3 linked regions of the Saccharomyces cerevisiae S288C genome follow. The gene in region 3 interacts genetically with the main gene of each other region. Each region holds a gene or a part of one and is shown on either strand. Other genes may lie near its edges.

Region 1 (8,507 bases), on a different chromosome or scaffold from region 3:
ACCAACTCCGGTGACGACGTCCAAAGTAGCTGCAGCGGCATTTCGCTCGCGTGCCTGATCTCACAATCATGCAGCACAGACCTTAGGTCCCTGGTGCTCATTGCAGTTTCGCCAATAAACAGCATGGGGATGATGATAGTCCGTGACTGTTGCCAGGGAAATCTCCACTTGGGTCGGTTGGTACAGCCTGTGTGTTTTACCGTTGATGGGCCCATGTAGTGGGACCAGTCATCCAAGAGCCTAGCATAGCTTTGACGTAGCGGCGCCGTCGCGGCGCCGCTTTCAAAGCTAGCCGGGTTGGCGATCTCGATGGGTATTATGGTGTTGCATTTCTGCAGGAGGTCGATACAGTCGGTGATCTGGTGTAGGGTCATCGCCATAGCAAACAATTTCTGCGTCAGTCCGGCAGTACGGCCACTAGCAAAGTCTTCGTCAGTAAGTGCCACAATGTCGTGGCACTTTGGTACTAGACTTTTCAGAATCTCCAATTGTTCGCTGATGGCTTCACAGCGCTGAAAACAGCAGTAAGTGTTGACCAACTTACCAAAAGATGCATTTATATCCGTGTAACGCTCCAGTCCGGAATAATCAACAAACATGGCTTGCGGTTTTCCTGAACACTCACCTTTTAGTATTCTTTTTTTCTTTTTTTTCTATTTTTTTTTCGACATAATTATTATTTTTTCTTGAATTATTTACTGACGCAAAGTTCTGACCACAGAAAAATTCCACGTCTTATTTTGCCCATGCCAGCCGTAGAATACGCACACGTGTACGCATGCTCCAAGTGTTATTGTAACTGGATGGTGCGCTGGTTTAGGCCTGTAAGCGGTCGTAAAGGAAAACCGGATATTATGTTACCCGCTTCTCCTACGGCATTACTAGTTCCTTTTTTTTTTTTTTTCAATTTTTCCATTGAGTTTTCCATAATCGGTACAGCAGCGTTTAATTTCATTACCTTTTTCAGAACAATGGGGGAGAGTTGTCAAGAGAATTGGCATACATAGAGAGGGTTAGCTGTCGTGCGTTTGTATTTTTTCGCTTATGCAACCATGAAGGATGTCTTACAATGGGCGATTGACCACTACGAGACAAGAGACCAACTGGTGCAGAAGGGAATTTGGAAAGGTGAACTCTACCATGACTCTATCTTTAAAGAAAATAGTAGAGGCTGGCTCTGGAAAGCTTTGCTTCTGTGTGATGAAAACAACAACTGCTTGTTAACTGATAACTTTAAAGGTTTGGACCTTAACCAGTTCGGCTTGGTGCCAGTGCCTATGCTGGCAGATGGCGACAACTATGACGAAAATCATAATGCAAATGTACCTAAAAGGGTCTTGCACTCGAACGTTTCCTCCTCAGTGGGAATCAGGAGGCTGACTCCCGTCGAGGCTGTTGAAAAACATCCCTTGTCTGATGACAATGACAAAACTAAAGGTTCTTTGTCCAAGGGAAGTGATGAAAAGCCGTTGACACTGAGGGAAACTCTGGAAATTATAGATTTGGACCTCTCAAGGATAATGCTTGACGATATATTTCAGGAACCCAAGGTTCATGCTCAAATGAGACAACTTTTGTACAATTACCTGCTTATACATCAAAGCGAACACCTACAGTATAAACAAGGGTTCCACGAAATATTAAGCGTCATTTATCTGCAATTATATCACGGTACAGATCTCGATAATACCGATTTGCAAAACGTTCTGATTATCTTTAACAAGCTAATGAACCAAATCGAACCGATTTTTTATAACGAAGAAAATTTGATTAACTGGGATAAGAGAGTATTCACGAAAATCTTTAGGATTTGTTTGCCAGACTTGTTTTCAAAGGTTTTTTACCAACCACCAAAAACGGGCAGCGGGAAGAAAAAAAACGTAGACCATCTGATTCACTCCAACCTAATCTGGCTCATCCGATGGACAAGGTTGTTATTTTTAAGAGAATTACCCTTAAAATATGTGCTAATCGTTTGGGACCACGTCCTGACGTTCAATTATCCCTTGGATATTTTCATTGCATGCACTATCATCACCCTTTTGTTATCCATTTACGATGAGCTTCACGAACTAGTGAGCCAAGGTGACTATGAACATACGAATAATAACGATGAATTTGTTGAATTGATTTTGCATTTCAAGAAAATTTTTGAAAAGGAAGATGCCAGTAAAGATGATGAAAAGTTTTTAGACCTGTGTAAGGTCACTGGAAATTTATGTGAATTGTGGTATGGAAAAAATTACGACGATATGAGATTGATTTGCGACACTTTTATAAATGCGAAGTTCGGCATAAAGACTAGTGATGTTTTAAGTATGGAAACAGCAAAGTTGACTATTGATCCTAATAGACAATCACTCGAAAACAAACTGAGGGAGAGGGTAAGGCAAACAATTTTGAAGAACAAAAAGAAAATAAGCCAATAAGTTTTTCTTGTCAATTACTCGTTGTTATTTGTTTGAAATCCCAGCCTGCACACCCGCACGACAAAATCAAAAAAAAAAAAAAAAAAACCCAGCTACCACCAACAAACAGATAGCCCACATGTCATATTTCCTAATGAGCTGGTTTCCCTCTGATATTTTTGCATATTGCAGCTCGACGTATATTGTACTTCAATGTCTTGCATAAAATTATATAGCATAATAGATAAGGTGTAAGTTGACAGTAAACGAGTACTATTGACCAAGAATCAATGAGAGAGATAGAGAGAAAAATAAGAAAAAAGGGAAAGATCATTTTTGCCAGATCAATAAATAAGTTTGCCCTCCAAAATAAATAAATAAATAAATAAGAATTAATAGGATCTGACAGCTGGAGGGACTGGGGCGCATTCATTCTCATCTAAAGTATGTGCGATTACATTCCTGTACTTGATTTTTACAGGTGTTGATGTCCCCTTTTGCCATGATAATGTGTGCTTTCTCCAATTCACATCATCTCTTTTTGCATAGTCCTCTCTCGCATGAGCACCACGAGACTCCTTTCTTTTGGAAGCAGAAACAGCCGTTTGTGTGGCACAAGTAAGTAAATTTTGCAATTCCAGAGTTTCTACGAGATCAGAATTCCAGATCATTGACTTATCAGAAACGTGCACATCCTCAAATGTCTTGTCCACTTCAGTAATATTTCTAACACCTTCATCTAGAGTGTCTTGCGTCCTGAAAACAGAAACATCTTTTTGCATTGTCCTTTGCATGTTCAACCTGATTTGAGAGGTTTTCAGTGAGCCGCGAGCATTTCTTACTTTATCCAAATTAGCAATTGACTCGTGCCCGATGTTTGAAGCCAATGGCTTATGAGGCAAGCCAGGCTGTAATGTGTCAGCAATGGTATTTGCAACGGCGCGACCGAAAACGACTAAATCCAGTAGTGAGTTAGCGCCTAATCTGTTCGCTCCATGAACCGATACGCAAGCAGCTTCACCACACGCCATCAATCCTGGGATGACCTTATCCTCTCCAGTTTCCTCGTCAATGGTCAATGCTTCACCAGTCCATTTTGTGGGAATGCCTCCCATATTATAATGGACAGTTGGCAAGACAGGAATTGGCTCCTGGGTGACATCGACACCCGCAAAGACAGCAGCTGTTTCAGATATTCCCGGTAGCCTTTCCTTTAGTACCTCAGGTGGTAGATGGCTTAATTGTAAAAGGATATGATCCTTGTTTTTCCCGACACCTCTGCCAGCCCTGATTTCCATGGTGATTGCTCTGGAAACAACATCCCTGCTTGCCAAGTCCTTGGCAGTAGGAGCATAGCGTTCCATAAACCTTTCTCCTTCAGAATTCAATAAAAATCCACCCTCACCACGGGCACCTTCAGTGATTAGGCAGCCAGACCCATAAATTCCTGACGGATGAAATTGAACAAATTCTAAATCCTCTAGTGGAAATCCAGCGCGAGAAACCATAGCATTACCGTCACCTGTACAAGTGTGAGCAGAAGTGCAAGAGAAGTAAGCTCTACCGTATCCGCCTGTCGCGATGACGGTCTTATGTGCTCTGAATCTGTGAATTGTACCGTCCTCCTGATTATAGGCAATGACACCCACAACCTCGCCATTATGGGTCAACAAATCCATTGCAAAGTATTCAATAAAGAAGTGTGTATTATTTTTCAGCGCTTGTCCATACAATGTATGAAGCATTGCGTGACCTGTTCTATCTGCCACCGCACAAGTCCTATAGGCCTGTCCACCTTTACCAAAATCTTTGGATTGTCCCCCAAATGCTCTCTGGTAAATCCTTCCATCTTCAGTCCTCGAAAAGGGCATACCGTAATGTTCTAGTTCAATGACAGACTTAGGTGCTTCTCTTGTCATGTAATGGATTGCATCTTGGTCTCCGAGCCAGTCAGAACCCTTGACAGTGTCGTACATGTGCGATTTCCAATCATCTGGATGCATATTTCCCAGCGCAGCATTAATTCCACCCTGAGCAGCCACAGTATGTGACCTTGTTGGAAACAACTTGGATAAACAAGCAGTCTTGTATCCAGCTTCAGCCAAACCGAAAGCTGCTCTTAAACCTGCACCGCCAGCGCCTACCACCACACAATCATATTCATGGTCGATAATATGATATTTGGCCGGCGGTTTCGATTCAGATTTCACTTCCCCAATTTGACGAACAACAGAGGAAGAAGTGAAAGTTCTTTGCAAGATGTATGATTTTGTTATTCCTTTTTTCAAAGATAACATAATTTATTAGCTCACGTGTATACATGTATATAGATATACGTATTTAGGCTCCTTCTTTTCTTATTTTAGCAGATAATTATTTAGAAAGTATATATAAGAACTTAGCTCTGACTAGAGTGAAAGAAATTTGCCGAAGTGTCGGTTGGATTGCCTTTTTTGCCACCTTGTGGAACCTTACTGTTCCGTTAAAGGGAAGACCCTTATATTCTAAAGGGAGCCACATAAGTCCGGAGAAGAGGAGCGCGACCTGAGAAAAGCGACTTGAGCGGCTAACGGGTTAATAAAGCTTACGGAAAATTAATGCATTGCAGCTTCCTATGAGTTTTGTCATTCTTATAGAAGCCGAAAATTCAAATAGATGATTTCTTGCGTGGAACCATAGGTATTCACACTATCTCTTCACAAAACTTGTTATATTGCAAGTATCTGTTGCCTCACATACGTACTGTATCAATCTGGATCTTAAAGTAGTAACTACAACAGCTTCAAAAAAAATCTCCGCGACGGGGAATTGAACCCCGATCTGGCACGCGACAAGCGCCCATTCTGACCATTAAACTATCACGGAAGAAACAAAGCACTCACGATGGGGGTCGAACCCATAATCTTCTGATTAGAAGTCAGACGCGTTGCCATTACGCCACGCGAGCTACTGTTTGTTGGAAGATTGGGATTAAAGGTAAACTATGCTTTGATTTCACCAATCTCGCAAACCAACGTTGAAAATCTAAACTCTCCTACTACATTTGCGTTTGGTAGCAGAATGTTGAGGAATAATAACCAATTACCATTTAGTTGACTAGTATTTATATGTCAACACTGTTGGAATAAAAATCAACTATCGTCTATGTTGGAATAAAAATCAACTATCATCTACTAACTAGTATTTACGTTGCTAGTATATTATCATATACGGTGTTAGAAGATGACGCAAATGATGAGAAATAGTCATCTAAATTAGTGGAAGCTGAAACGCAAGGATTGATAATGTAATAGGATCAATGAATATTAACATATAAAATGATGATAATAATATTTATAGAATTGTATAGAATTGCAGATTCCCTTTTATGGATTCCTAAATCCTCGAGGAGAACTTCTAGTATATCTACATACCTAATATTATTGCCTTATTAAAAATGGAATCCCAACAATTACATCAAAATCCACATTCTCTTCAGTCTATCAACTAGTAGTCATACTACCAATATATTATCATATATGGTGCTAAGATGATGGCATAAGTTATGAGAAGCTGTCATCGAAGTTAGAGGAAGCTGAAGTGCAAGGATTGATAATGTAATAGGATAATGAAACATATAAAACGGAATAAGGAATAAAACGGAATATTAGTATATAGAAATATAGGTTCCATTATGAGGATTCCTAGATCCTCGAGGAGAACTTCTAGTATATTCTGTATACCTAATATTATAGCCTTTATCAACAATGGAATCCCAACAATTATCTCAAAATTCACCAATTTTCATCTTTATCAAAAATGGAATTCCAACAATTATTAAGTTATAACCAAAATTAAAAATTCACATATTTCTCACAAACAAAATCTTTACAATCACTTATTGATCAGATATAATCCTGCAAAATGGAAAGAAATTATTAATTATGAAGAAGGGTACGGCGGCCAAGAGAAATTTCATCCACATTCTATTTAGAGCACATTAAAAAAATCTCCCGGGGGCGAGTCGAACGCCCGATCTCAAGATTTCGTAGTGGTAAATTACAGTCTTGCGCCTTAAACCAACTTGGCTACCGAGAGTGATAAATGATTAATAACCAAAAAATTTTGTTTCATCATACAAATTCAAAGAAAGTATTGTTTCATAAGAATGTTGCTGAAAGGACTTTGAGTGAATTGTGAACAGTTTGATAATTATTGGTCCAAATGGCGACATTGAAGACACAGTGTAAATTATTCAATGATGATTTGGCCTGGTTTTTACAAATGATTTTATCGACGTCAAGAGGATACAGTTCAAGAACGGTTAAGCGACATTGACAAAAAATGCTCAAAAACCACTGGTGCAACTTTACTGGTGGCAGTTTTTTGAAGTGAAAAGGAACTTTATTCTGGAGCGGAAGAAATTCAATAAATGTCACCACAATACCGATGCTATTCTTAGATGATCGATAAAATTAAGTACTATCTGTCGGTTTCTCAAATAACAGTATAAATATTTAGTTCACATTTAGAGACGGCTGAATCGTAACAAAATATAGTTCTTATAGATCTAAAGTACGAACACTCCTAATGTATCGCTTATATTGAAGTTTGCTGTGAATCTAGGACGCGTCTGCTGAAATATGCTGAATCAGTTTCCGGTGAAAGACTTTAATTTTGATATTTACCTACGTTATTTACAAGTGAATTGAAATATTCATCAACGTTATGTGTAACTGTCAATATTCTCCAAAAATCCTTTGAATTCCAAGCCGATTAAATCATTTCTATCACAATCATAAATCATGCCCTTTTCGACTTTAATTGTTAAGCCTTTATCTTTAATCTTCACTGAAAATTTAGGCCCCGAGAAATATTTCCATTGTTCGCTCTGTAAGGTGTTCATAGCATCTTTAATCTCATCGTTTATAGATTTAAACTCGTCACAGTAATATATAGGTATTTCGCCGTCAACTTTGAATGTTTTCTGAAAACGCTCGGATACCACTGCAATGAACTGATTAGGAGTAATTATACCAACATTTTTGATTTTTGATTTTACACTATGAACTCCACTTGACTCCCATTCCATATTGTTCGGTAGTGAGGGTTCTAATAAGCCGCTAAACTGTTCTAAATCCGCATTAAGCAACATCGTTGCATGATGGTATGCTTTGCCACCGGCAATTTTATAAGCACTGCCACTAATTTTAAACCCGTCCTGAATAATATCTCCTCTCTCATTCAAATCTAGTCTTAGTTCGGGATTCAATGAATTTAACCACTTAATTATCATTTTGTTGAAAAACTTTGTTTCGAATTTCTCCCTTGATGTTAAATATGAATAATTAACATTGCCCAAATCATGCAGTACAGTGCCACCTCCAGAAAATCTTCTAAGTAGTTCGAAATTCTTACTCTTCAGCTTAGCAAGATCTACTTCCTGCCACAGATTTTGGTTTTTGCCTATAACGGCGCACCTATCATTGATGTAAAATAACAGTCTGCAATTATCGGGACCTCTTTTGGCTCTTGGTGTATTCTTGAAAACATAGTTTTCAAGGGCCAAATTATAATAAGGACTGGTGGATAAACTTTGTATAACAAATCTGCCCTTTGCCTTTACTATATTTTCCAATTGTGAAGCAGACATGATCTGTTTGGCATATCCAATATTATAGAAATTGTACAAGTCTTTATTAAAAGCACTGATATCTTCTTCCATAGAGCTGGCCTTCGTCGTATCATAATCAGATTTACCTTCATCCTGCAAAATTGAAACGTTATCATTTGAAGGTGTAAACATGTTTTCATACATTGAGTTTATATCATGATATTTATCGTCTGCGTCTTTTGCCCATCGTGTAAGTGTGTGAAATAAAGTGGTGCAATGTATGAGGTTTCGCTGTCCCACATATCGAGGGGAGAGTGCCCAATTACTTAGCATCATAGACATAATGTAAACATCAAAGAAAAGTCTAGTGTTTTCTTCTTTTGTATTCATCAAAAATTCTACATACGTGAGCTCGGAGATTTTTGGATGTTCAATATTCCTGATTAAGTATGACGAAGCGGAACGCATAGCTATCCTTTGCGTAATGATGAATATGAACAATGCGA
Region 2 (9,100 bases), on a different chromosome or scaffold from region 3:
GTGGTCCCTTGTACGGATATACTCTGGACTTTTGAAGAGAGGGGATACAGTACGTATACTTGATACATCACAATCTGAATCTCGCCAAAAAAGACAGTTGCATGATATCTCAAAGACGGAAACCTCCAACGAAGATGAAGATGAAGATGACGAAACGCCTTCATGTGAGGTCGAAGAAATTGGCTTATTAGGTGGCAGATATGTCTATCCGGTTCATGAAGCACACAAAGGACAGATAGTATTAATAAAAGGTATTTCAAGTGCATATATTAAATCCGCGACGTTGTACTCTGTAAAGAGTAAGGAGGACATGAAACAGCTAAAATTTTTCAAACCTTTAGATTATATTACCGAGGCAGTTTTCAAAATTGTTCTTCAACCTTTACTGCCAAGGGAATTACCCAAGTTATTGGATGCCCTGAACAAAATTTCGAAATACTACCCAGGCGTTATTATTAAAGTTGAGGAATCTGGAGAACATGTAATACTAGGAAATGGAGAGCTGTATATGGACTGTTTGTTGTATGATCTAAGAGCGAGTTATGCAAAGATAGAAATTAAAATATCTGATCCTTTAACTGTTTTTTCTGAAAGTTGCTCAAATGAATCGTTCGCTTCAATACCTGTAAGTAATTCGATATCTCGCCTTGGTGAGGAAAATTTACCAGGTCTGTCGATTAGTGTAGCCGCTGAACCAATGGACTCTAAAATGATTCAGGATTTGAGCAGGAACACATTGGGAAAGGGTCAAAACTGCTTGGATATTGACGGAATAATGGACAACCCAAGGAAACTATCCAAAATATTGAGAACCGAGTATGGGTGGGATTCGTTGGCATCAAGAAACGTTTGGTCTTTTTATAATGGCAACGTGTTGATTAATGACACTTTGCCAGATGAAATCAGTCCTGAATTATTATCCAAATATAAGGAACAAATAATACAAGGATTTTACTGGGCTGTAAAAGAGGGGCCTTTGGCAGAAGAACCAATTTATGGTGTACAGTATAAATTGTTATCGATCTCAGTACCTTCCGACGTAAACATTGACGTTATGAAAAGTCAAATTATTCCGCTAATGAAAAAAGCCTGTTACGTTGGCTTACTGACAGCAATCCCAATTTTATTGGAACCCATCTATGAAGTTGACATCACGGTCCACGCCCCCTTGCTGCCAATAGTAGAGGAACTTATGAAGAAGAGACGTGGAAGCAGGATATACAAAACAATAAAAGTGGCAGGGACACCATTGTTGGAGGTTCGTGGACAAGTTCCGGTTATTGAATCTGCAGGATTCGAGACAGATTTGAGATTATCTACGAATGGTCTTGGTATGTGTCAGCTGTACTTTTGGCACAAGATATGGAGGAAGGTTCCTGGTGATGTTTTGGATAAAGATGCGTTTATTCCAAAATTGAAACCCGCACCTATCAACAGTTTAAGTCGTGATTTCGTGATGAAAACAAGAAGGCGGAAGGGTATTTCTACAGGTGGATTTATGTCAAATGATGGTCCTACGCTTGAAAAGTATATAAGCGCTGAATTATACGCTCAATTAAGAGAAAATGGCTTAGTACCGTGAAAATCTTGGCGCATAAGAATTAAGCAATATGTCCACAATATTTTTATTCAGCAGAATTTACATATGACTTCGTATTTAGTGATATAACTACTCATCGGGACTGAAAATTTTTTATTTCTGCCTAAATACAGATGAGATGAGCTTTATAGAATTTTACGCTGTTAAAAAGTTAAACGGTAACAAAGCACAGTTAGTTGAACAACGGTATATAGAGAATGGCTAAAGGTTTCAAGTTGAAGGAGTTGCTTTCGCATCAAAAGGAAATTGAAAAAGCTGAAAAGCTTGAAAATGACCTAAAGAAAAAGAAATCCCAAGAATTGAAGAAAGAAGAACCAACTATCGTTACAGCTTCTAATTTGAAAAAGCTTGAGAAGAAAGAAAAGAAGGCCGATGTTAAGAAGGAAGTTGCTGCAGATACTGAAGAATATCAAAGCCAAGCCCTTTCTAAAAAAGAGAAAAGAAAGTTGAAAAAAGAATTGAAAAAAATGCAAGAACAGGACGCTACCGAAGCTCAAAAGCATATGTCTGGCGATGAAGATGAATCTGGCGACGATAGAGAGGAAGAAGAAGAAGAAGAAGAAGAAGAAGAAGGAAGACTGGATCTTGAGAAATTGGCCAAAAGTGACTCTGAGTCTGAAGATGATTCTGAGTCTGAAAATGATTCTGAAGAGGATGAGGATGTCGTTGCTAAAGAAGAAAGCGAGGAAAAGGAAGAGCAAGAAGAAGAACAAGACGTTCCATTGTCAGACGTGGAATTTGATTCTGATGCAGATGTCGTTCCACATCATAAACTAACCGTCAACAACACAAAAGCGATGAAACATGCCTTAGAAAGGGTACAATTGCCATGGAAAAAACATTCATTCCAAGAGCACCAAAGCGTTACATCAGAAACTAATACGGATGAACATATTAAGGACATATACGATGATACTGAAAGGGAATTAGCATTTTACAAGCAATCACTGGACGCTGTTTTAGTAGCACGTGACGAATTGAAACGACTAAAAGTACCCTTCAAAAGACCATTGGATTATTTTGCTGAAATGGTGAAAAGTGATGAACATATGGACAAGATTAAGGGTAAGTTGATTGAAGAAGCCAGTGACAAGAAGGCACGTGAAGAAGCTAGAAGACAAAGGCAATTGAAGAAATTTGGTAAGCAAGTCCAAAACGCTACCTTACAGAAACGTCAATTGGAGAAAAGAGAAACACTGGAAAAGATCAAATCTTTGAAGAACAAAAGAAAGCACAACGAGATCGATCACTCCGAGTTCAACGTCGGTGTAGAGGAAGAAGTTGAAGGAAAAAGGTTCGATAGAGGCAGGCCTAACGGAAAGAGAGCCGCAAAAAACGCTAAGTATGGCCAAGGAGGCATGAAGAGATTCAAGAGGAAGAATGATGCTACCTCTTCTGCTGATGTCAGCGGCTTTTCTTCCAGAAAAATGAAGGGGAAGACCAATAGACCAGGAAAGAGTAGACGTGCCAGAAGATTCTAAGCCGTTATGTCGGCAAGAACACTGTATATATCCAGAACGTAAAGTATATACAACTATCTATCATCTCTTTGTACACTAGTATAAAATAGAATTAAATCCAACGAAGCCCTAAAAGGCTTTTGTAACCCTGCCAAGATGACGGGAAAATAAAGGGAAAGACCTTATGTTTTTGCCCAAAAACCCTAGCGCCGGCGCTAATATTAATGGCCGGAATGAAAAGGTCCCGGAACTTTGTGTATGGCGTTGCGCTCTTCCTGTGAGTGGGGGGAAACAGATTAGATAATTGAATTCAATAACAACAGTCAATGGGGGACGGAGGGTCTTATGTTCCCTTTGGGTCATCGGGGACGCAAGTAAGAAGATACGCAATCAGCAAGCGCTGTTATTACTCTAACGAAGAAATCTTTTCAGCAAAACGGTCCAAAAGAACGAATGTTTACGTCGCAGCGACAGCTTCGACAAAATGGGAGTCCGATGTCATCATCACGTTCATCACAACATTCCTCTGGTACAGCGTCGCCGATATCAGACTCTCCAGCATCGAATCGCAGCTATGGAAGAGATCTACGAGGCTTAATGGGAATTGATATACCTGCTAACGAACCAGCTTTTAACAGGGCCAATAGCAGTGATACAATCTATTTCAGGCCTAAGAAGATTTACAAAATGGAACATGAGCACCCATCACGATCTACTTTAGTACAACTGCAGACAAGATCGCAGCCGGACGATGTCGCAAGTAGTCAAGTAAACCCTGAAGGCGGAACCGACGATCTAGAGCTGGGCGATCCGTGTGGCAATCAATCTTTATACACTATAGGGGCGGAGTACGTTCCAGATTTAGACTTTACAAAGCTAGTGAATGAGTGGCAAAAGTCCACCGAGGATTTGTATGAGTTCAGAAGCAGTGCCACTCCGCAGGTACAAATCAAAGACAGTGGAAAGGGAAACTACGAACTTTGGAGCTCACCGGATGCAATATTGACTCAAAACAAACTTCGAAGAGATAGTTTTTCGCAAGAGAACAGTGATTCGTTAAGTCCAGAAGATTCTATTTTATCAAGAAATTTGCATTCTAAGGTCAAACCCATCCCTCTGCCCAGAAACAGCCAGCAAATATTTACACCCCTGTCCAACTTAGAAGCGGAAAGGAGATCCTCATATACAACTAGTAGCAACAACAATAGCATAACACAGAATAATAAATTCTCTTTTGCGAAGTTAAAGTATTCACTTCCAACTCAAAGTTCTGCAGTTCCTGCGTCGTTCGATTCAAATGCTTCGTCACTAAATTTTCTTCCGACTACTACATTATCGACCTTATCAGAGCTACAAATAAGCCCCAACGATATGATGGATTTGATTCAGAAGCTTCCCAGAAATTTTTTGAACTTGCCGTATACTCAAAGGAAAAAGGTGATTATCGAGCATGCACCATCTCATGACTACAAGGCCATGATGTCCCTAGTTAAGAAGTTTATGTTAACATCTTCTAGAAGTAACTTTTCTCTCGCTGGGTTTGCCAATAATGCTTCAGTTTCGCAGGCCACGGCTAATGATGATAACATCAATAGTAGGAACACGCCCAATAATAGCAATGACACCTACGTAAATACGCGTCCACTTCAAAGATCTAGGCACGGTTCCATTGCATCCCAATTTTTAAGTTCTTTTTCACCTTCGATGACGTCAATAGCTAAAATGAATTCGAACCCATTGAGTGGAAGCGCAGGTGGCAGTGCGAGACCAGACGATAAGGGTATGGAAATACTAGGTCATCGGTTGGGTAAAATCATAGGTTTCGGCGCATGGGGGATCATACGGGAATGCTTTGATATTGAAACTGGTGTTGGTAGAGTGATAAAAATTGTGAAGTTCAAAGGACACCAAAATATCAAGAAACATGTGCTGAGAGAAGTAGCCATATGGAGGACTTTGAAGCATAACAGAATACTCCCCCTTTTAGATTGGAAGCTTGATGACAACTATGCAATGTATTGTTTAACGGAAAGAATTAACGATGGTACCTTATACGACTTGGTAATATCTTGGGACGAATTCAAACGTTCGAAGATACCATTTGCAGAGAGATGCAGATTGACCATTTTTTTAAGCTTACAACTATTATCTGCATTAAAGTACATGCATTCCAAAACGATTGTTCATGGTGACATCAAATTAGAAAACTGTCTGTTACAAAAAGAAGGTAAAAAATCGGATTGGAAGGTTTTCCTATGCGATTTTGGAATGAGTTGCCACTTCGATGAGAAGCATGTTTATCGTAACGATACTTTTGATGAAAACTTGAGTAGTGGCAACAGCCATAGAAAGAGAAAAAGTATTGAACAAACTAATTTGATAAAGTATCCCACAACCAATTTTTTACCTGACGACCGAACTAATGATTTTGACGCTAGTGAAAACTTAAAATACCAATTTGAAAATCGAAAGCATCAACCGTTTACACCAAAAGGAATGGTTAGCTCCAGTTCACATTCATTAAAGCATCTCAATCAACCATCCTCTTCTTCTTCTTCTAATCTATTTCACAAGCCAGCCTCTCAACCTCAACCACAGCATCGGAGTCCCTTTCATGGGAGGCACAAGACAACCGATTTTTCAAACCTGGAACCCGAACCTTCTAAATATATCGGATCTCTGCCTTACGCTTCGCCAGAACTTCTAAGATACTCAGATGCAAGACGTTCAAAATCAGTTGAAATGCATATTTATGATTCACCAGACTCCTCTCAATCGGAAATTAGCGCAGCATCATCATCTTCCTCTAATTTATCTTCTCTATCATCCTCTACAAAGGCGTCCGCAGTCACGAATTCCGGTGTAACTACAAGTTCACCGTCTGGTTCATCGACTGATTTTCCATGTATTGTTTCTCCTTTAGGACCAGCATCCGATATTTGGGCCTTGGGAGTAATGCTATATACAATGTTAGTAGGAAAATTACCCTTTAATCATGAGTTCGAACCTAGGTTACGCTCTCTGATTAAAGTAGGCGAATTTGACCGATTTTCTTTAGCTCAGGTCTGTAAATTTGACAGGAAAAAAAATGAAGGAACGATTGGTCAAGGCTTGTATGACACAGTCATTGGATGTTTGACGATTGACTTGGATAAGAGGTGGAAATTGAAAAGGATTGAAGAAGTCCTTCAAAACGAAATGAACCTAAGCGAGGCCATTCACGATAATAATGGCTCATGACTTATGATTAATGATATTGATTGCATTGAAAAAATACATACATTGTGCTTACTTTTTTTTCTCCCATTTTATAAATTATAACGAACTTCATAATTACTATTACGAAATATGTAAATAAGTATTTTTATCGCATATTTGATGCCTCTATCACTTATTTGGCGCTATTCATTGCGACTCGTGCAACGTGCGAAAACTCAGAATATTTTTTTGAACAGCCTTAAATCATGTTGCTAAATGACGGATGGAAGAAAAGGGACCTATAGAAGAGTTCGGATAAATTGTGAAGCGTGGATATTGGCATAGCGGATTTGTAGAACGGTGTGTCGTCAACCCTTTGAGATCTGGATAAGCCATATTTTCTAACATCACAACATGATATTTCTAAAATCTGTCATCAAGGTAATCGACAATTCAGGTGCACAATTAGCAGAATGTATTAAAGTAATAAGGAAAGGGTCCCCCAAGAGTCCTGCAATGGTTGGAGACAGAATAGTCTGTGTTATACAGAAAGCAAAGCCCTTGACTCAAAACATTACGGGGACAGCCAACACCAACCGTGTCAAAAAAGGTGATATTTGTCACGCAATTGTCGTAAGGTCTAAACAGCGTAACATGTGCAGAAAGGATGGCTCCACCGTTGCATTCGGAGATACTGCTTGCGTTTTGATTAATAAAAATACCGGTGAACCTCTGGGGACAAGAATTATGGCTAATGATGGTTGTGTAGATAGAACACTGAAAGACAAGGGATACAATAAGATATGCTCTTTGGCAAGTAGGGTCATATAAGAATAAAAGTACCCCCATTTTCCATTCATTAACGTTATAATCAAGGGACTGTAAACCAGCAAAAGAGCTTTGTCGTCATTATTTAATTAACCACCTGTATATATTGCTTAAATTTTAATGTATGACTTTAACTTTGAAAACGCATGAACGTGCTGCTGACGTTCTACTCATTGGAGTTGTATTCTTTTTCTTGTCTTATTCTATAATTGCATGCCGTGAATATTGTATACAAGATATTTATGTGGAATCATATATTAGGCAGCAATTCGTACTTTTCATCCACTGCATATCTAAAAGTTTGCCAACAGAAATCCTTTTTCTTGGTTCCCATTGAAAGATGCGATATAATGCGATTTTTCTATTTGTGGCCAACTCTGAGTTTACGTGCTTTAATTCTTCGAATACCCTAAACTGGTTTTTACGCTGCATTTCCTTGTAAAATTCATCATAAGACATATCTTTTTCTCTCGAAGCTACTTTCCAAAGATAATGCCCCAATATCATTGTTATATAAACAACGCCACAACTCCAACAGTCAATCAGTCTTGGATCGTAATACTCCCCATCAACAAACTCTTCTGGAGCTACGTAAGGCTCTGATCCAATTATACCCTTTTGAGCATGAACCCTCCTTTCCCAAGCGGTTTGAAATACAGAACTTGTACCGAAGTCACATATTTTCAATAGACCATGCGGATAAAAGAGAATATTTTCAGGTTTTAAATCACAATGAGCGATACCATGATCATGCATGAACTTAACACCATGAAGCAGTTGCTTCATGAAACAATCGGCTTCTAACGGATGTAATCGGCCCTTTAATTTCGACTTACCGACCAGCATACCATAAAGGTCACCAGCAGGGCAAAATTCCATTACTTCAATAAACGAAGAACTGTCTTCTAGAATATCAAATACGTTTAGAATATTGGGGGCTGGTTTTTTACCATTTTTGTGGTAGTGGCTCAAGGAATGCCCAATAATAAACTCAGAGGTGATCTTTGTACAGAACTTCTCTAAATCACTGTCTGGTTTGGGTTTCAATTCTTTCACAGCATAGTATATGTATTTGCTATCATGATATGTTTCAAATGGGGGGGAGTCCTTTTCATTCCGTAGTCTGGCACACAGCTTAACTTCACCGTAAGCTCCAGCGCCAACGAGACCAACAGGATGGCCATAATTATCTTGAAAAGTAGGTGCTTGCTCGCCGATACACTCAGCCGGTTTTAGATTTTTTTCTTGCAAATAATTTTGTAAACTTTTATGAATTCTGCTTGATAATGAATTAATCAACTTCAACTCATCACTGCCCAATGATGCGTCGGGATTCACTATTTTTAGATAATCTTCCCTTCCTTGCGTGGGCGAGCTGCGGTTGCTATCGTTAGGACTTTGACCGGTTCTTTTCTCATGGTTTGTCTGAGATTTTTCTACGTTTGGCAGAAGAGATAAAGCGTTTTCAATATCGCATTCATTTTTATGATGTTTGAATAGACCAGAAAGAGTAATACCTAATCTTGGTCTAGATAATGATCCCTGTCGATGTGCCGGTAAGGAGTTACCTTTCTCTAATTTCGCAATTACCCCTGATAACTTTATATTATGTTCATGACTTCCGTCTTCGTAAACTTTGAAGCCATTTTGCTCAATTATACATTGCACATCTGCTCCTGCAAATCGAGGCAAGCTCTCCAAACTTTCTTCATCTGGATGTGACCTCCTGGTGTATAACCTTTCATTATAGAATTGCTTGGAGGGGAGAGGATTTGGATATGATGTTGCTCTGCGTAAAGCCTTCTTATTGTAGTCATCTATGTAATTATACGGCGCCCGGTCTTTACTTTTCAGTATATCTTTGTTCGAGCCACGATAAGGTGTGAGGTCATTGTCTGAATCATCTAGTAAAGAATCCATAGCCCATTGACTGTCTGATGAACTTGTCGTTCCATTTGAACTGTCACATGACGAAACAGATGAACTTCTTGAACGTGGACGCCGTATGCCATGA
Region 3 (5,709 bases):
TTGTTCCCTGAAGACTTGAATATTCTTGGTAAAGTTGAAGTTGAATACAAAGTTTTGCCAGGTTGGGATCAAGATATTACCAAAATTACAAAGTATGAAGATTTGCCGGAAAACGCAAAGAAGTACTTAAAATATATTGAAGATTTTGTTGGCGTTCCTGTTGAATGGGTTGGTACCGGCCCCGCAAGAGAAAGCATGTTGCATAAAGAAATTAAATAGGGCGTTGGACATCCATGACAAACTTCAATTTAATTTCTTTTCACAGTTTTATAGTTTTATATATACGAAATGTAACTAATCATGACATTTTTTAAAAGTTTTCAATGAAAAAATGAAAGAGTAATGAACAAACATATTTTTTTTATAAAATGCATAAAAACATATAGATATATATATATTTACGTGGAAAAATGTTAAAACTATTGATAAGAAAAAACGCTCAAAACAAGTAGTAAGCAGGCTTTTTTTTTTTTTGCTGCTTGTTTTAGAGAACCTGTATATCAATTAGTAGTCTCAGTTGGTTTTTCAAACAAACAGTAATCAATGTAACGAACACCGTACACTTGATTCCATTGTTTTGGTAAAACTATTTGCATGATTCGGTTGATTGGCTCCGGTACGTAAAATGCTCTACCCAAAATCTTAGAATTTTCACCGTCGATGAATGCAGCACATGCCAGCTTATTCCAGTTATCCATCAGATGTAGAGGGTTGAAAACGTCTTTTGTTAAATTTATTGGGGCGACGATGTCAATAAAATAATCACATCTAGTGATCGGCCACTCTTTACCGGTATCATATATATTCTTGTTATTCATTCCCTTAGGTAAAGTTCTAATCTTTTTGAAAATAGAACCACTCTCTGGAAAATCACCTGGAAGAAGACCATCAAATCCAGATTTAACAAATTTTAGCCTATGATTATCTGGCAGCAGGAAAGAACTTGGGAAGTGATACCATTCACGTCCCGTACATACATTCACTACCGGTGCCTTCACACCACCTTGATTTAGTGAAGAAAATTGCTCGTAGACGGCTATAGGAGCTGTGTAATTGTTCACCAAAGCCACTATCCGTGACATTGCCTGGCCTGCAACAATTAATAAAACTGACAACTTTATACCTTTTTTAAGAATCGGCTTTCTATTGAATAGATTCAACACTTTGTAAAAGGCGATACTTGCACTCAAAGTTATTAACCCGTAAATTGGATAGAGAAATCTTTCCTCTTTGTGAGGTTGTTGAGTGAAAACGGCAATCCATGTGAATAATGATGCCCATAATGGCCATAATCTCAAATGGAAAATTCCCAAAATAGCTAAAACTAGCACAGGCAGTGGGAAATTCAGTAACAAATTTAGTGGATAGTAGTACCATGGCTCAACCCCGAAAATATTTGGGCCAGATTCCTCACTTGCATTAATGACATTGTAAAATAAGATGTTCCATGATACAGGAGCAAGCTTCCCGTAAAATATACTGTCAGTGACAATCACAGCAAATGCAGTCAATGAAAATATCAAACAGCAGTCGAATGCGGTTCTGATGGTAGAAATAATTCTATGGTTGAAAAGGTAATGTAAACATAATGGCAAGCTTAAAATTAAAACAAATGGCCAGCCTAGTATACTAGCCAGGAAATTGTACGCTAAACTTTTCGTAAAGTTAGAAGTAGACCCAGTGGACAGATAGCGTAGAGAGTGTCTGGTGGCACCTACATACAACAACATGGCAACGGCAGAAGGCAATAATTCCACAGATGCATGGAACCAGCCCGGATTAAACAATTGGAAAATAATCCAAATATTTGCGATTTGCAATGCCAAGCTGCCTGCAATTTCACGATGTAGTTTAAATTCCATGATAAAACTAAAAAAGCCTAAGCATGCTCTTGTGATGAAAAAGTTCCAATGACTTTCTAGGTCAGTAAATTTGTTTACTGGATAAAGAATACAGTAAAAAGGTAATAAGAAAGCCCATGATCTAATAGAATACTCGGGTGAATATTCCCAGGTTTGTTTACCAAATCCACGTACCAATAAATTTAATGGTTCCCAATAATTAAAAGTTTCATCGCAATCTGAAATTAACGAGAATGTCGGCTGAATATATACTCTTGTTAAAAATAACAACAGTAATAAACTAATGGTTACCGCCTTGCAATTCATCGTTCCCTTATAATTGTGCTTCAGGGTGAAAAAAGAGCCAATTCGATACAGCTAAAGTTTTGAAATCTCGTTGAGTAGCCGTAATGGTACAATAAAAACGAAAAAGTATTCTCTATTGTGTCAAAAACACCCCTGTATATCCAGTTGTCCCTTTTTCAAGCTTGTATTGACAGTTCTGAATATCGCAGAACGGTTCTCATCAAAATTCAATATTGCGTAACGGACTTATTGTTGCATTTTCAAGTAAATAAGCCGGGTCAGGATGCCCGCCGTAGATAGTAAAAAGTAGGTATAACATGCGCAAGAGCAAAACGGATTTGACAACATATCCAAGTGATAAGTGGTCGTTTAGATACATCATATACTATAACGGTTTGATATTGAGAGCCCAGTTAAAATTAACATCTGTTTTTTGTTTTTTAATTGACATTCAATCATCGGTTGCTTTCCTTGTGAAACTGTACGCGTTGTCTTAAACGAAACGTGTTTTAAGGTAGGTCATCGACAGGTAAAAAATAGCTTATTAGCAGAAGAACGCTAGCGGTAAGATCTGAAACAGGATCGCACAGTCTCAATGAGTAACAAGAGGACATCTGTAGAACAGCTCATATCATGCCCAATTTGCTCTAGAAAAGTCTTTTTTTCCTTAATCAACTCTCATCTTGACATATGTGGCAAGGAAAAGTCAAAGCCTTCGAGTAGGCCACAAACGGTGTCAAGTCTTTTGGCAGGCCCAAAAAAGAGGAAACAAGCTAACTCAGAGAAATTCATTGATCTTGAAAATAAGGACCATGAAATTAAGCCAGGTCTTAAGAGCGAGAGTGATGATATTGAGATTGTTGAAAATGAAAGCAAAAGATTTAAGGCAGCACCATCCACGGATTTTGCGAAATCAATAGTGGAGCCTGCTTCGAGCAGAGATCAACTTCACAACGATTACGAAAGCAGATGGTTGCAGAAAATAAGCCATTTGCCACTTAGTGAAAAATTGAGGCCAAAAGAATTAAGAGATTATGTAGGTCAGCAGCACATTCTCTCTCAAGATAATGGTACATTGTTCAAATACATAAAACAAGGGACTATACCATCTATGATACTCTGGGGCCCTCCAGGTGTAGGAAAGACTTCACTAGCTAGACTATTAACGAAAACTGCGACAACCAGTAGTAATGAATCAAATGTTGGTTCCAGGTACTTCATGATCGAAACAAGTGCGACAAAGGCAAATACGCAAGAATTGAGAGGTATATTTGAAAAATCAAAAAAGGAATATCAATTGACCAAAAGAAGAACTGTACTTTTTATTGATGAAATTCACAGATTCAATAAAGTTCAACAGGATTTGTTATTGCCACACGTAGAAAACGGTGACATTATTTTGATTGGTGCAACGACAGAAAATCCAAGTTTTCAGCTGAACAATGCTCTCATTAGCAGATGTCTGATTTTTGTCCTAGAAAAGCTGAATGTCAACGAACTGTGTATTGTTTTATCAAGAGGAATTGCATTATTGAATAAATGCAGGAAACAAGTATGGAATATTGAAAATCCTTTGAAATTGTCTAGAAGCATACTGGAGTACGTGGTAGATCTGTCGGTGGGTGATACAAGGAGGGCGTTAAATATGTTGGAAATGATCGAAGTTTCAACAAGAGAGCGCAAGGCCGACGAGGAAGAATTATCTATCGATGATGTACGAGACATAATTAAGAACAACAGCAGCAACGGGTTGAATACATACTATGACCCAAAGGGAGATAACCATTATGATACAATCTCTGCGTTTCATAAATCCATTAGAGGTGGGGACGAAAACGCCTCACTGTACTATTTAGCAAGAATGTTGCAGGGAGGAGAGGACCCATTGTATGTTGCCCGAAGAATGATTCGAATAGCTTCTGAAGATATCGGATTACGGGATAGTTCATTATTGCCCTTGGCTGTCGCGGCACATGACGCAGTAATGAAAGTTGGTTTGCCAGAGGCAGACCTTGCACTGGCGCAATGTTGTGTTGCTTTGGCTAGGGCACCAAAGTCAGTAGAACTATATAGAGCTTGGAAGAAATTAAGGGCAATGATGAGCGAGAACATGTACAGTTTAGCAAGCAGTGAGATACCGATGCATATCAGAAATGCGCCAACCAAATTGATGGAGGAGCTGGGTTATCATAAAGGCTACAAGTACAATCCCGATTATATTGAAGGAAAAGTCCAACAAGACTACTTTCCCAAAGAAGTGCTCGAGAAATGTCCAAATAAAACTGACTTAAAGTTCCTGGACGGCAAACATTTAGGAGACAAAGAAGATCCTGACTTGAGACAGTCATATCAGGGTTAGTCAAGGGTCTTCCATACTTCTCTCAATGCCGCGTCTACAATTCATATTTTTTTCTCTGTTGGCCAATGCCGCTTGTTTTTTTACGCTTGAGGCGCATTGCATTGCTGGCACGTTTTTGTGCAGCATGAACGATATAAACTATAATTTTAGATAATCAAGGATCCACCTTTTTTTTTCATGCTAGAAAAGTCTCGCGGGCCCATCTGAGATATATTAGAACATATACGCATCCTATAAGAAGAGCACATTATTCTTGAATTAGTTCTTCCTTTTCCTCGACCTTCCAGCTTGTAAAATGAGCCAGGCTTGAGGAGCATAGATACGCAAAAATGGAAGATAAGCGGAAAAGACGAGCCGCTACACTTAGTACAGCATTGATATTATTTGTGGCATGCTGCGTTTATACACTATATATATTCAAGTTTGATAACCCTCGGTTGTCTCCACCAGTTTCCTTATTGCCTACAATTAGCACCTTGAAGAAAATTGAGCATGTAACAGATTTAAATAAGGAGTACGTTTTTGTTGGTGACGTTCATGGTAACTATGATGAGTTCATAGAACTCATTGATGACAAGATTGGAGGACTAGGAGAAAATATAACAATGATATTGCTGGGTGACTTTATTCACAAGGGCCCGGACTCAGACAAGGTCGTGTCGTATATTCTAAATCACAAGGATCAAGTCAAGTGCGTTTTGGGCAATCATGAAATATTGGTCATGATGGCCTATTTAAACCCAGACTTCTCGAAATGGGTAAGACGCCCCAAATTAATGACACCTTTAACTTTCAGTACGGAGACTAATTTCATACCACAAGACATCTCTAAAATCAGCAACGCACATGGACGGTTAGCTCGCGAACTTGGGTTTTCCAAATTAAGTCAGCTAGCGGAACATTGTTCTATGGCCATAGAACTAGATCTGGATATTACCGGTGATATACTCTTTGGTGCACATGCAGGGATGGTTCCGGGAGACTTCATGAAGCCCAACCAAATTCCGGGCGTGAGCTCTCTGTCAAACATGAAGTACGTTGATAAGAAGAACTGGTCAAAAACATCACGTGAAAAGGAAAACAAGAATTATGTGAGATGGTACACACTGTGGGACAAATACGGAGACCACTTTAGTAACGCCAAAGTATTTTACGGGCACGATGCATCCATGGGACTAAACCTACGGAGACAGACCAAAGGTT

What was found.
Region 1: mutations in ALG9 (region 3) and SDH9 together harm fitness more than expected from each alone (negative genetic interaction), as found in Saccharomyces cerevisiae (2 studies listed by BioGRID).
Region 2: mutations in ALG9 (region 3) and NNK1 together harm fitness more than expected from each alone (negative genetic interaction), as found in Saccharomyces cerevisiae (3 studies listed by BioGRID).

What each region holds. Positions count from the first base shown.
Region 1 is NC_001142.9:352,222-360,728, reverse strand, and holds SDH9 (succinate dehydrogenase SDH9), read right to left. Parts: upstream 4,706-8,507; coding exon 2,801-4,705; downstream 1-2,800. Other genes in the region: YJL043W (uncharacterized protein), read right to left, coding at 1-599; GTPase-activating protein GYP6, read left to right, coding at 1,053-2,429; AIM22 (putative lipoate--protein ligase), read right to left, coding at 7,114-8,343. UniProt on the Saccharomyces cerevisiae protein: Probable minor catalytic subunit of succinate dehydrogenase (SDH) that is involved in complex II of the mitochondrial electron transport chain and is responsible for transferring electrons from succinate to ubiquinone (coenzyme Q).
Region 2 is NC_001143.9:123,962-133,061, forward strand, and holds NNK1 (protein kinase NNK1), read left to right. Parts: upstream 1-3,513; coding exon 3,514-6,300; downstream 6,301-9,100. Other genes in the region: U5 snRNP GTPase SNU114, read left to right, coding at 1-1,582; EBP2 (Ebp2p), read left to right, coding at 1,798-3,081; mitochondrial 54S ribosomal protein uL14m MRPL38, read left to right, coding at 6,673-7,089; putative serine/threonine protein kinase KKQ8, read right to left, coding at 7,327-9,100. UniProt on the Saccharomyces cerevisiae protein: Serine/threonine-protein kinase involved in the phosphorylation of the NAD(+)-dependent glutamate dehydrogenase GDH2.
Region 3 is NC_001146.8:235,496-241,204, forward strand, and holds ALG9 (dolichyl-P-Man:Man(6)GlcNAc(2)-PP-dolichol alpha-1,2-mannosyltransferase), read right to left. Parts: upstream 2,169-5,709; coding exon 501-2,168; downstream 1-500. Other genes in the region: ADE12 (adenylosuccinate synthase), read left to right, coding at 1-219; ssDNA-dependent ATPase MGS1, read left to right, coding at 2,743-4,506; PPN2 (putative serine/threonine-protein phosphatase), read left to right, coding at 4,836-5,709. UniProt on the Saccharomyces cerevisiae protein: Mannosyltransferase that operates in the biosynthetic pathway of dolichol-linked oligosaccharides, the glycan precursors employed in protein asparagine (N)-glycosylation.